3 linked regions of the Arabidopsis thaliana genome follow. The protein of the gene in region 2 interacts with the protein of the main gene of each other region in a biochemical or structural test. Each region holds a gene or a part of one and is shown on either strand. Other genes may lie near its edges. The genes, in order: AT1G72430, ETR2 and AT5G20820.

Region 1 (3,402 bases), on a different chromosome or scaffold from region 2:
GTGACTTGTCAATCATTAGCGTGTCGGAATCAATTAACAAGCTTAATTAAACTTAGCAAAGAAACTTCTTTTCTTTGATTATAATGATTAGAACTTCGTCCTACGTAGGAAATTAATTTATTTTGGTCTTACTAATTATACTTATCTTCAATAATTATTCTGCGCGTCCTTTTCGTACCCACCTCGGAAAATTAATGTCAGTTATTTTATCTACCAATTTATGTCTATAAACGTATATTAATGCACATATGTTGGTGTAAGTAATGCCAATTAGTACAACAAACTACAAATTTATTAGTATATCGACTAATTAACCTGTAAGCTTTAATTTATTTTGTATGGCTGAAAGTTCAAGAATATTAAAAGATAAATATATAATGTCTGCAACTAGAAAGGAGAGTAGGGACATGAAATTGGGACCAGGTCACCAACGCGTCATGAGAGCGACCATTATTATTTCCTTAAAAGAAATTGCATACGTATTTTCTATTTTATACACACACAAAAATAGATTTGAAACTGACACCATACAAATGATACGCAAAAAAAAAAAAAAATGAATATCGATGATAGAAATCATTGCTAGTCATATTTTGTTTATATAAAGCAAAATAAATGAATTGGACTCATCATATTCAACCAACTTTTGTTTATCGAACATCATCAAAGGCCTTCTTTATTATGTCATGAGACTCATGACTCATATGAGAAAGATACGTTACGAAAATAGAAACAAAAGTTTACAAAACCGCCATAATAAAATAAATATAGAAACAAAACCTACCAGAAAACTTAGTTTGTTTTCTTGAAATCATTGCATTCTTTTTTTATGTATATTACAATTAATATAGGTACTGAAATACATTTTGAAGGAAAATATATATAAAGATTGTTGTTAGTAGAAATTTATTCTTGGTTGGTCTTAACAAAGTAAGAAAACTACATATGCTCATCATCATCATAAAATTGCTCAGAAAAACGGAAGCAAATGACATGGTTTACGAGATCACGTTTTGATCACACACCGCATCGAATGAAAATACAAATCAGCAACAACAAACAACAACAAAAAAGGTATATATTATACGAAATAAATGTATAAAATCAATCGGTCGATGTCAATAAGTATAGAACTCAGCCAATTCTTCAACGGATCCTCCTTCTTGACCAGACTTGAGCATCCACAGCAAGTGCTCGAACAAAACGACTTCACAAGCTACAACAATCTCACGATCTTGTTCGATGGATCTAGAAGAAGACCGATCCACGAGTTCTTGAAAGAGTGGGTGAGAGATGATGTCTGGTCTAAGCATGTAAGGTCTTCGAGTTTGACCAACGTAAACCACATGGAGATTGTTGTCTTCTGAGAGTTCGTCGGAAACAGCGGCTGAGGAGGTTGAGTGGTGGTGGTTCTTGGCGAAAGAAGGCCATTTCTTCATAGCCGACTTAAGCTTTGTCAGCTTCCCAACTTTGGCCATTGCTAACGAAATTGAACTTTTTTCTTGGGGTTGGAACAAGAGAGTTGTTGAAACTAGCTAGGGTTTAGGGTTTACGAGGAGATTTATATGTGTTGATGTGAGTGTGTGTGGGGATCAAAATATTGGAAGAAGAAGAGAGGAATGTTTGAGAGATGTTCTTGGGAGGAAATAACGAGGAAGGTTCGTGTATATATATTGAGTGAGATAGAGAGAGAACGTATAGGTGCATGACCCACCGATTGATGCATAACAGCTAAGAGAGATGAGGACATAAATGGCAAAACTAGTATCGTTTTTTGCCCATTGTTTTTTCTTTCTTTTTTGTTGTATCTTGTAATTATATATTGAGATTCGTAATAATTTTAATTTTGTAATAAATTTTGCCATATTCATTCATTTATTTTCATGTTACAAATTACACTTGCTGATAAGAAAAATATTGTAAAATTATGATAGATGGATGAGGGAATGATACGGTCTACGAAAAAACTGATAAATACGTTCTATTAAAAAAAACAGATATAACAAGTGATCATTACACCATTAATTTATTTGGCTAAATATATATATATATATATATCAATAAAAAATACATAATAAATAACATTTTATCTAATTTAACATAACAAAACTATTAAATTATTTGATACAATTTTTTTTCCTTTTTATATATATTTGATACTATATATACACACTATTTCTCTTACCTGTGACATTTTGTTTTGCCTACATAAATGTCAGACACCACAAATCCAGTTTTGGAAATGCTTGCTTGATAAACATTCATGTTTGTTGTATAATTTTTTTTTAAATTGTATTTTGTATATTATGATGTCTTATAGTATATAATAATTTGTAGATATATACATATACGTGCGGTGAGTAGAGATGTGTAGGCAACCTCTTATTGCGTGTTGTTGTCTAATGATCGGACAAAGAGCGATGTTTTTTAGATAACGATTACATCTTGTCCACAATTTTGTTCAATATTACCCGATAATGCTAATTTTTTGTCGTTCATATTATCATGTACTATAGAAAACAAGTATGGTCTTCATCTGTCGATTTACCTTCGATTTTCTTCATTTCATATTAAGAACATAAATTAGATATGAACATTCAAAAAGCATACTATAAAATTAAACTCGTAAACTCATATAATTTACACGGTAATTAGGTTTTATTGACGGATGCAAAAACTAACCACAAGCATATTATGCTCTTTTCGACAAGACACAGTCCTTTTATCTAGTGCAAATGCATAATCATAAATATTGCTCATTCTTTTCATAAAGTTAGTTTGGCATTTCCGAGAAATTAGGTGGAGAAGACCTTACCTTACCGTCTGTCTTTTATCGAACAAAAAAAGTTGTGGATGGTAAGCTAATCATTTAAGGAATTTTTAGATACTTCTTTTTTATAAATGGTCGAACATATAGTACTTGTTTATAGCAAAAGAAATAAAATAGTAATATAGTACTCTCTCATCATTAAACATTAGATAACTATCTTTATCTTAATGTACTTATGTAGCTAGTAAAACATCAAACCAGACCTACAATTTGATCAAGAGTGAAATATTTTATTTTTGAATAGTGAAGATCTTAGAGAATTTTTGAAGATTTGAAGAAAGGAAAATGATACGCGCATATATGCAGCATATACATACTGGCATCACACGAAACAAACAAGCAATCTGAATTTAGGAATACTAATTACTTCCGATTCGTAATCATTGCAATGATTAGCATAAATCGAGTTATGCTATAACTTAATTATATAAAGGTAGCAACATGTATTACTTAATATTCTAAGGTGTGATACTTTTAGAAATTCATTTTTTTGGATTAGATTAAATATTACTAAAAAGGTTAGAAACTTAATTTAAGAGAAATTTTCGATTAGTTGTATTAAAAACAAGCTA
Region 2 (5,910 bases):
TTACATAATTTTACTTATGATGTAATGTAACAAATCAATCTTTTTTCTTCTTCTTTATTTCTCTAAACTGTTTTACTCGCAATAACTGTAGGCAGCCGGGGGAAATATTTGGATTCTTGAAAGTGTAAAGTGAAGAGTGGTTATCTATTTGGACATGATTGTTTTCACTGTAGTTATCAAATAATTAGTACTTTAACTAATAATTAAGACTAATCTGTCAAAGATTGTCGGGTTCGAAGAAACAAATGTATAAGCACAAGTGGGTTTGAATATATAATTGCAAGTTACGTAAACCCATCTCTTCCCTAGATTCACTTTCTGCAAATCCAATCCATTTCTACTTTATTTTATGCAGTTCTTTTAGTTTAATAGGCTCGAGGAATGTGCAGTTTTGTTTAATGTAATCTTCTCTAGTCCAGGGGGCATGAATCTAACAAATAATTACTATATTTTGATTTTTACTGGTAACAACTAATAAAGTCACACATTTTTTTCAATGATTCTTTTGTTTGAAAAGTTTATTACAAAAGTGGCAGACGACATTATCTACAACTTTTCATGTTCCAGGATAATTTAAGAGAGCTCTAATACCTACTAGAGAATTAACTTGATGTAGAGTAGTAACGAAGAAAATTTATCTTCAAAACTCTATAATGCCATATTCAGTTTCGTAAGTTCGTAACATAAAGAAAACAAAAAACTACGAAACTGACTCCTTCTTGACCCTACGAAATACTAAGATTCAATGCAATTTCGTGGGGTTCAAAATGAGAAAAAGAACAAAAAAAAACAGGATGTACAAATCATAGAGATATGGGTGGTATATATAATAACAATTTCGAAATTTCATTTTGATATATTTGACATAAATCTATGGTGTAAAAATTTTGAATGTAGAAGAGAAGTTGAGATAACAACTTAGAGAAGTTGGTCAGCTTGCAACAATACTCTTCGGAGCTCACTCTCCATAGCTCTTAACACCACTGGCTTTCTCACAACTCCATTGATTCCAATCTGTGCACACTTGTCCCACATTTCTTCATCCAAGCTCACTGTCGTCGCCACAATCAACGGCCAAGATCGACTCCTGATCCTCATGGCCACTTCATAACCGTCCATCTCTGCCATTTGAAGATCAAGCACCACCACTTGAAACGAAGTAGAAGGCGAGGACGAGCCGGGAGCAATGGCGGTAAGGCAATCGAATCCAGAGGAAACCGCGGTTACATCGCACCCGAGTTTCTCTAAGAGTTTACGTGTAACTGCCCGGTTCGAATCGTTGGTGTCTACCAATAAAACTTGTAAGCCACGTAACAGAGAATTCGAATGTGGGTGAGCGTGGTGGTCAGGAGCTGGCGACTCGCTGGATCCATGGACAGATATGGAGGGTCTACGTCGAAACCGAAGGAGCAACGACATGGTCTCCGGTGAACCATCCGAGCCAGGGACCACCGAGATATTCCCATGAATCAACTGCACACATTATCAAAGAACTCCTAAACAGAAACTCAGACTAATGACAGGAACTTTAGAAAGAGATATGTAAGGAAACTCACCTGCACCACTTTCTTACAAACACCAAAGCTTAGATCTTGTCCTAACCCATAGCCGCCGGAGAATCTAACATCACCAACTTCTTGATCTCTGGAGGAAACAGAAGCAAATGATTGAGAACTTGAATCATCATTCTCTACATTCATTTCAAATCTTATATACACATCTCCATCTGCTGAAGAAGCCGGTGATCTCCAAGCAGCCCATCTATGATCACTCCTATCCAAGCTTCCTCTTTCTTTCAAAACCTTAAACATCAATGAAGATCCTTCTTGACGTTTTCTAGGCTTTACTAAACTACCAACTATATGAAGTATCACTTGAAAGACCCTTCTTTCATCACCTACTACATTATCAGGTAGAGACTTCTCCGCGTCAACCAAGAACCTAATTCCATTGCATAGACACAAACATCTCGCCATACAAGCTGCTTCATGGATCGTACGATGCAGACTAAATGGTTTCATCTCCGTACCAAATCTACCGTCAGGCACATCCATAGAGTCCCCCACCAAATTCGACATAACATTCCCTGTTTTAACCATCGTATCAACAATCATTTTCTGCTCGTCACTCAACTTCTCGTCCTGAATCATCGACAAAAGACCGAGTATCGAATGCATAGGACGCCTCATCCCTTCGCTCATCGTTTTCTGAAACGCATTCCTCGCTTGGCTCGCTCTCAACGCGTCTCTCTTCGCCATCTGCAACGCCCTGTTCTGTTCCGCCAGCTTCTCCCTCATAAGCTGAGACTCTTCAAGAACCGCTGCATGATCTAACGCAACGGTTACTTGATCCGCCACAACTTTAACAATCTCAATCTCCTGATAAGTCCAATCCCGAGGCGTCCCGCCCGGTAAAACACAAACAAGTATCGCATAACTTAGCTCTCCATTAAAATCCGAAACACGAAGCATCGGCATTCTAATAGCAGCCACGGCACCAATCTCACTAACATCCCCACCACCACCACTAGCTCGAGCAATGGACGAGTCAACACTCAACACATTCACTTCATCACTCTCCCTAATCCTAACAACATCCAAATCCTCCATAGAAACAGAACAACCACCATAACCACCTCTCCCTCTCAACTCATGAGTCAAATCCATCTCCGTTCCACCGTCATTCGGCATCCAAACCGCACAATTCTGCAACCCTAAAGTCTTCGAAAGCTCAACCAAAGTAGTATAAAGAATCGTATGACGATCCAAAGACTTACGAATCTCTTGAGTAAGCATACGAACATGAAAGCCAGTCTCTTTCTTAATCAAAATCAAACCAACTTCACGACCAAGCTCATGAGCTTTCTTCTTAAGCATAAACTCTCTAACTTTAACTTTCAAAAGCAGAGGAATCAAAGTAATAAGCGTAATCGCAGTAGCACAAGAGACTAAAGCAGTCAACATCTTGAAAACAGTAAACGCCATCATTAATCTAAATGGATGAGCAGAGTAAGTCCAACCATGAAGAAGATGAGTCATACCACAAAGAACAATGAAGGCGATAAACTCAAAGAGAACCCATTTGAATGGAACATTGGAACAACTCACGAAGTAAAGTAACTCAATAGGGATTGAGAAATAAGCTACTGCGATTAAGAAATCGCTTACTCTTTGAGTTTCTAGAATGTTCTCTGTACTCCAGAAACTGTTTCCTTCGTCTTCGCAGTTACATCGTGGATAACCACCGCCGTTTATAGCTAAAACCGGAGAAACAAACACCACCATTGATAGTATCAATAACCAAGAAGCTATTTCTTTAACCATCTTCGGAGAAAAAAAATGCTTAGTCCATTATACTCTGCAATTAGAAAAACAAGAAACAGAGTGAGAAATAAAAATCAAAACTTTAATTTGGGTAATAGTAGAAAGAACAGAGAAAGAAAAATTTGGAATACCTGAAAGAGATGAGTTTGGATCAAAATGAAACAGTTCTCAGATCTCTCATCGACCTGTGAAATTCCAACGAAGTGATGTACGAGAATCTTCTAATTCTCTTCGACATTCCGATCTTCCTCTCATAGAAGAACAACGATGACGAGAATAAAAATACACAAAGAGAAAGACAGAGACAGAACAAAAAAAGCTGGTGATGACAAAACCAGAAGACTTAAAAGTGAAGAGATAGAGACAAATCTGAAACTACTTTGAAGTTATATAAAAAAACGTGAAGTACGTTTATTTATATATGCCGGAGATGATTAGTGCCGGAAAACCGCCATAAGCCGCCGATGGAGGATAAAAAGAGAAGTGTATGTATAGGGTGTAAGTAAAGGTAGGAGCCGTTGGTTTTAGAGGAAGGTTTTGAGATTTTTTCTTCTTCTTTATTCTCTGATTTAGAAACTTAAAGAGGTCCCACTTGTTCTTACATGAACCGAACTTAGACGGTCTTTTGAATTTTTTCTGAGTTGTGTTTTTTTTCTTACACTTAATAATTTTTTGGTCACTAATGTATTAATAAATCATTTAATATTGAAAACATTTGTTATTTCCTCAACTTGTACGTTTTATAAATTTAACTTATTACAAGCTGTAACATAGAATAATTAATGGGTACTCTGAATTTTATCAAAATCCCGTATATCATGAGACTGAAGAATAGAATAAAGCTTGTTTATTTGTATATGAATGAGTAAAATATTGGTATAATTGTTGGAAACTATCAAGCCACATGACATGAATCTAGGAACCTAAAAATTATTTTAATAAATGTGTTTTATTCCAAGAAAGTATAAAATTAAGACCAAGGAGGCAAATAGATCATATATTTCTTAAATTAGCTTTGTTTATAAACAAAAGAGCACAAAATCTAACGTAATCACTGTGTTTTGAACTGACACAAGTAGTCGGATATTTGATGAGATTAGTCTAATACTCTAATTAGATATTTTAATTAGTCAAATATTTACAAAAAGAAGATATGTATAACGCCTTAAGATGTTGATTAATATGAGGGACCTACAAAACTGTGATCTTTGATTTTATTATAATGTTTCCTTCACCATACATGAATCTAAAGAGTAATGAGTATATATTTGAAACCACATTGCTATTACTTTCCTAACTTTTAATTGTATGGTTTTGACTCTAGAAGAAACCATGTTAGACCACAGAATGTCAGAATCGCATGTGTTCTTTTATATTGAAGCTCTAATTAGTATCTACCAATCATCTTTGAAAAACATCATTGTTTAAAGCCTTTGTACATATTTATTTTATTTATTGATAGTACTATCTAAAGAAATTGAACCTAGAAGTTTTTAGACGACACGTTACCTAAGTTTTTTTTGTTGGTGTTTTTAGTGGTCACTGTAACAACAGAGAGTTTTAGCATCACTACCTATAACCATAATCTTGATGCTTCAAACGGAGTCATACAATTACAGAACAAAAAAAAATACATTGAAACTCTTGAGCATATTTTGTGAAGCTAGTTCGGATAATTTTGAATTTCCACAAGTAACAAAGTTTCTTGTTGTTTTTGTAATAAATCCCATCTTTATCTATAGAATGAGTACAAAGTCTCAAGAGACATTTAACTTTTTGCAACGATCTAGAAGAAAACACTTTAAAAGGCTCTCATGCGTTCTTCTTGCTTAACAATTAGTCACCGACTGTCAAATGCAAATGTTCTCCTAGAACCACAGTCATAACAGGGTGCTTTTCAATGCATGAGCACAATGAGAAGGAAACCCATATATCAAATATACAACTTATATATGACCATTAATCGCTTCGGTTACATTTATTTACCTCACGGGCAACACCTTCGTTTTTCAAAGATTCATCTTCTCGTAGATCAAGAATTACCATAACATCATATCTGAACCATGAACGAATGCAAATATTATATGTTTCCTCAACAATAGAGCATAGAGAAGTGGTATTTTTAATTAAGATATGTACTATCTACAGCTGCATCAATCTCTGTATCTTTCAAACCATCTGGACGTTTGAAATCTCTGACAATCTAAACAACACATGAACAAAATGTGTCATGAACATGGGTTCTTGAAGATACTGTAAACTTAAACAAGAAAGAAAATAAACTTAATGTTAAAGGTGGTGATATAAGGAAGATGTTGTCAAATCTAACCTTCTTAATTATCTCGTTCTCAAGACAAACACGATAGTCATCTGCACCAAAGACAGGAGCACAATGGACAATACCAGTACCACTATCATTCATGACATAATCATCTGCTACTAGTCGAAAAGTCACACTTGAGAAATCGCTAAAAGTAATCAAACAAAGGTTCATACTTCTTCCCAACCAAGGAATCTCCATTAAAATTTTCCAAAACTTGATAAGAATCCTCTTCACTGTCAAGCTTAATTAGCACCTTTCGCATTA
Region 3 (2,866 bases), on a different chromosome or scaffold from region 2:
CATTCCAAGTCTTGCATTCGTCTGTTAGCGATCCAGTCAGAAAAAAATTTCGTTTCTAATTTTTCACATAAAGCCTAAATATGTTTAATCGTTTTTTTTTTCATTCTGCATTTTACCAAATAAAATCAGTTTCTTACATGACTTTTGCCAAAACAAAAATTAAAAAACATCACATGTAGATTTAATTTATTATATTTTTTTTTCTCAGTCATCATATTTCTTTTGCGACTTTAAAAGATGCAAATCCGTCTAGACTTTATCAAAATTATTTATCTATATAATACGTTCATTGTTTAATTGTTTAGTTTGTATGTTTATGTGCAATTGTGCATGACATGCGTGTATACGTATGTTTTTATGGAAAAAAAAAGATACACGGATAAATTTTATAAATATATTTAAATACGTAGGGGCCAATCAATCTAAAGTAGATAAGATGAATTGATTAGGGTTTGAAATTTTGTAGCCCGTGATTGATCTAGTTCACGAAGTCAGTCAAATACAACATTGACATTGCAATTAGTTTTAGCTCTTTGTATAACCATTAAAAAATCATCATTTTTAAACTACATTGCAACTTGCAAGACAATATTTACACATTTAAACATTTATTTTATCGTTGTTGTATCATTTAACAGAAAATAGATTATTTCACGAAATACTATGTAAAGTGTAAAGTATACAAAGTGTAGAATATACAAACATGTAACATTTAATCATAAATATATTTTGAACCTAAATTAATCATAAAGAGTTAACAAGCGTAGAACTCGACAAGTTCGTAGACCGACTCGGGGCGTGACTCATCGGCGTCGGCGTTCTCCAACATCCAAAGCAAATGCTCAAACAAGACAACTTCGCACGACACAGAGATGGAACCGTCCTCGCTGCCGCATCCACCATCCACCGCCGCTAGCTGCTGGAAGAGCGGGTGGCTCACGACATCGGAGCTCACGTGGTATGTCCTCCGTGTTCGGCCTACGTAGACAGTTTGAAGGTCTTCAGAGGGGAACGCACTCACGGCGGAGGATCGGCTGTGATTGGTTTGAGCTGGTGGCTGGTTAGGCTTGGTGTTGAATGAATTGAGTTTCTTCAAAACTGATTTCAGCTTCATCAGTTTGTTTCCTCCTTTCGCCATTACCGATTCGGTTTGGAGAAGTTTGACGTCGGAAATGTAAGTCCGAGTGAGTTTTCCGGTGAGAGAGAGAGAGAGAGAGAAGCGAGGAAGAGGAATGTCGATGTCGAAGAGAGAAAGGAGAATGATGTTCTTATATAACTTGCTAAGGGTAGATTCGTAATTATAGTATTATTATTTTCAGTATAATTTCATGGTTTTAATAAGTTTGAGAACGTTTAGGTTATCAACCGATTTTTGAATAGCCATTATCCAATGATCTAAAAGTTTCCAAGAGCCGGAAGCAATTATTCGAAAAGATTATGATTATGAATTGGAAAGATAAAGCTAAAAGTATATATTAAAACATGCAAACCCACATCACTCCAAAAGTTTTTGTTATCCCAGTCAACCATATACATCATCATTTCCCCATAACCATTTTCTTAAAACTAAATTTGGCTAACGTTTTAACTACGTTGTGGTAAGAACCTTCGAGACTTCGAGTGTGTAAAGTGTAAACTTATATTTTGGATGAATTTTTGTTAAGTTTGGATCTTCATCACATTTGTTTTTGTGTCATTTCAATCCAAATGATGAAGTAACGAGTACCACAAACTTACTAGATTATATGTTCTATTCAATATGTACTTTTCTTCAAAGGATTTTCATAGTATTTATTAGAAACTTTAAATATATTCTCTTTTCTTTCAACGAATTTCAGTTAGATATTTAACTACGACAATTTTTCTTCTAAAAATTTATGGAGTTCCCATTTTTCTCGTTTATATAAAATATAAATTTCTTTGAATGAAGATCATAACAATATAAATGAAGCTGTGAACTTTATGTAATCACTTGATTATAATAAACTAATCCAACAACTAAAGGAGGTTCATGAACTTCTAAAGCGGCTTATTAGTTCTAATTAGTTAGGTAAGTAATTGGCTATCTCTGCTTTTGATTAAAAAAATTATCTTCTCTTTTTTTACACATAACATGTTACAATAACAAATACTATAAAATTGCAAAATTTTGTCATTTTGTTGTGGTTAGATTAGACTCCGACATTATTCATTTGTGAAGTTTATTTATTATTTACGTAGTATTGGCTTCTACTGTTACAGCATGTGAGTTCCGGAAGATTTGTCTTCTTCTTTTTTTACGTAAAATTGTTTATATCATAATCAGCCGACACAAGGGCATCAAATGTCTTTCTAATCATGTAACCAAAATATTAATATGAAATTGGACCTCCTCCTAGTTTGTCTACTTATAATTAATTGAAAAGTTTATCAATCTTCGTAATAAACTAGACATCATATTAATTAAAAGTGTGAGATTTATAAAAGATTGGCGGAAGAGTCCAAGTAAAGATAATATAGAAGAAATTAAGATGAGAGCAACGACCAATCACAGATTTATAGTATCAAATAAATTTGTTAGTGAAAATGTCAAGTTCTCTATTTTTGGGCGGACTCGATCACCTGCCAAAGCGTCAAGCTGTACTAGAGGAACCGTTTAGACGACTGAAGTTTCTTTCCCAAAAGGCCAAAAAACGTTGAAAAACTATCTTATAATGCATATGCATTCATAGTTTACGTTCACCATTGCAGACATATAATCTAAACCTTTGAAAAACCTAAAGCTAGCATGGAACTTACTCATAAAGTTGATACAAAGCTTTAGTTCTTAATATCAGAATTGCCTTAAACAAAGGGGAATGCACACACATGTGTGTTCCCCACTATT

What was found.
Region 1: the proteins of ETR2 (region 2) and AT1G72430 form a complex in vitro, tested with the Arabidopsis thaliana proteins (one study listed by BioGRID).
Region 3: the proteins of ETR2 (region 2) and AT5G20820 form a complex in vitro, tested with the Arabidopsis thaliana proteins (one study listed by BioGRID).

Annotation. Positions count from the first base shown.
Region 1 is NC_003070.9:27,264,032-27,267,433, forward strand, and holds AT1G72430 (SAUR-like auxin-responsive protein family), read right to left. Parts: upstream 1,776-3,402; 5' UTR 1,479-1,775; coding exon 1,119-1,478; 3' UTR 571-1,118; downstream 1-570. UniProt on the Arabidopsis thaliana protein: May be involved in the regulation of ethylene receptor signaling. Promotes cell expansion and plant growth.
Region 2 is NC_003074.8:8,252,569-8,258,478, reverse strand, and holds ETR2 (Signal transduction histidine kinase, hybrid-type, ethylene sensor), read right to left. Parts: upstream 3,921-5,910; 5' UTR 3,455-3,920; intron 3,358-3,454; 5' UTR 3,324-3,357; coding exon 1,557-3,323; coding exon of another isoform or gene 1,509-1,556; exon of another isoform or gene 1,474-1,508; coding exon 919-1,473; 3' UTR 591-918; downstream 1-590. Other genes in the region: AT3G23145 (ATP binding / aminoacyl-tRNA ligase/ nucleotide binding protein), read right to left, coding at 5,283-5,347, 5,463-5,526, 5,653-5,838. UniProt on the Arabidopsis thaliana protein: Ethylene receptor related to bacterial two-component regulators. Acts as a redundant negative regulator of ethylene signaling.
Region 3 is NC_003076.8:7,046,157-7,049,022, forward strand, and holds AT5G20820 (SAUR-like auxin-responsive protein family), read right to left. Parts: upstream 1,291-2,866; 5' UTR 1,139-1,290; coding exon 755-1,138; 3' UTR 591-754; downstream 1-590. UniProt on the Arabidopsis thaliana protein: May be involved in the regulation of ethylene receptor signaling. Promotes cell expansion and plant growth. Involved in the regulation of cell elongation.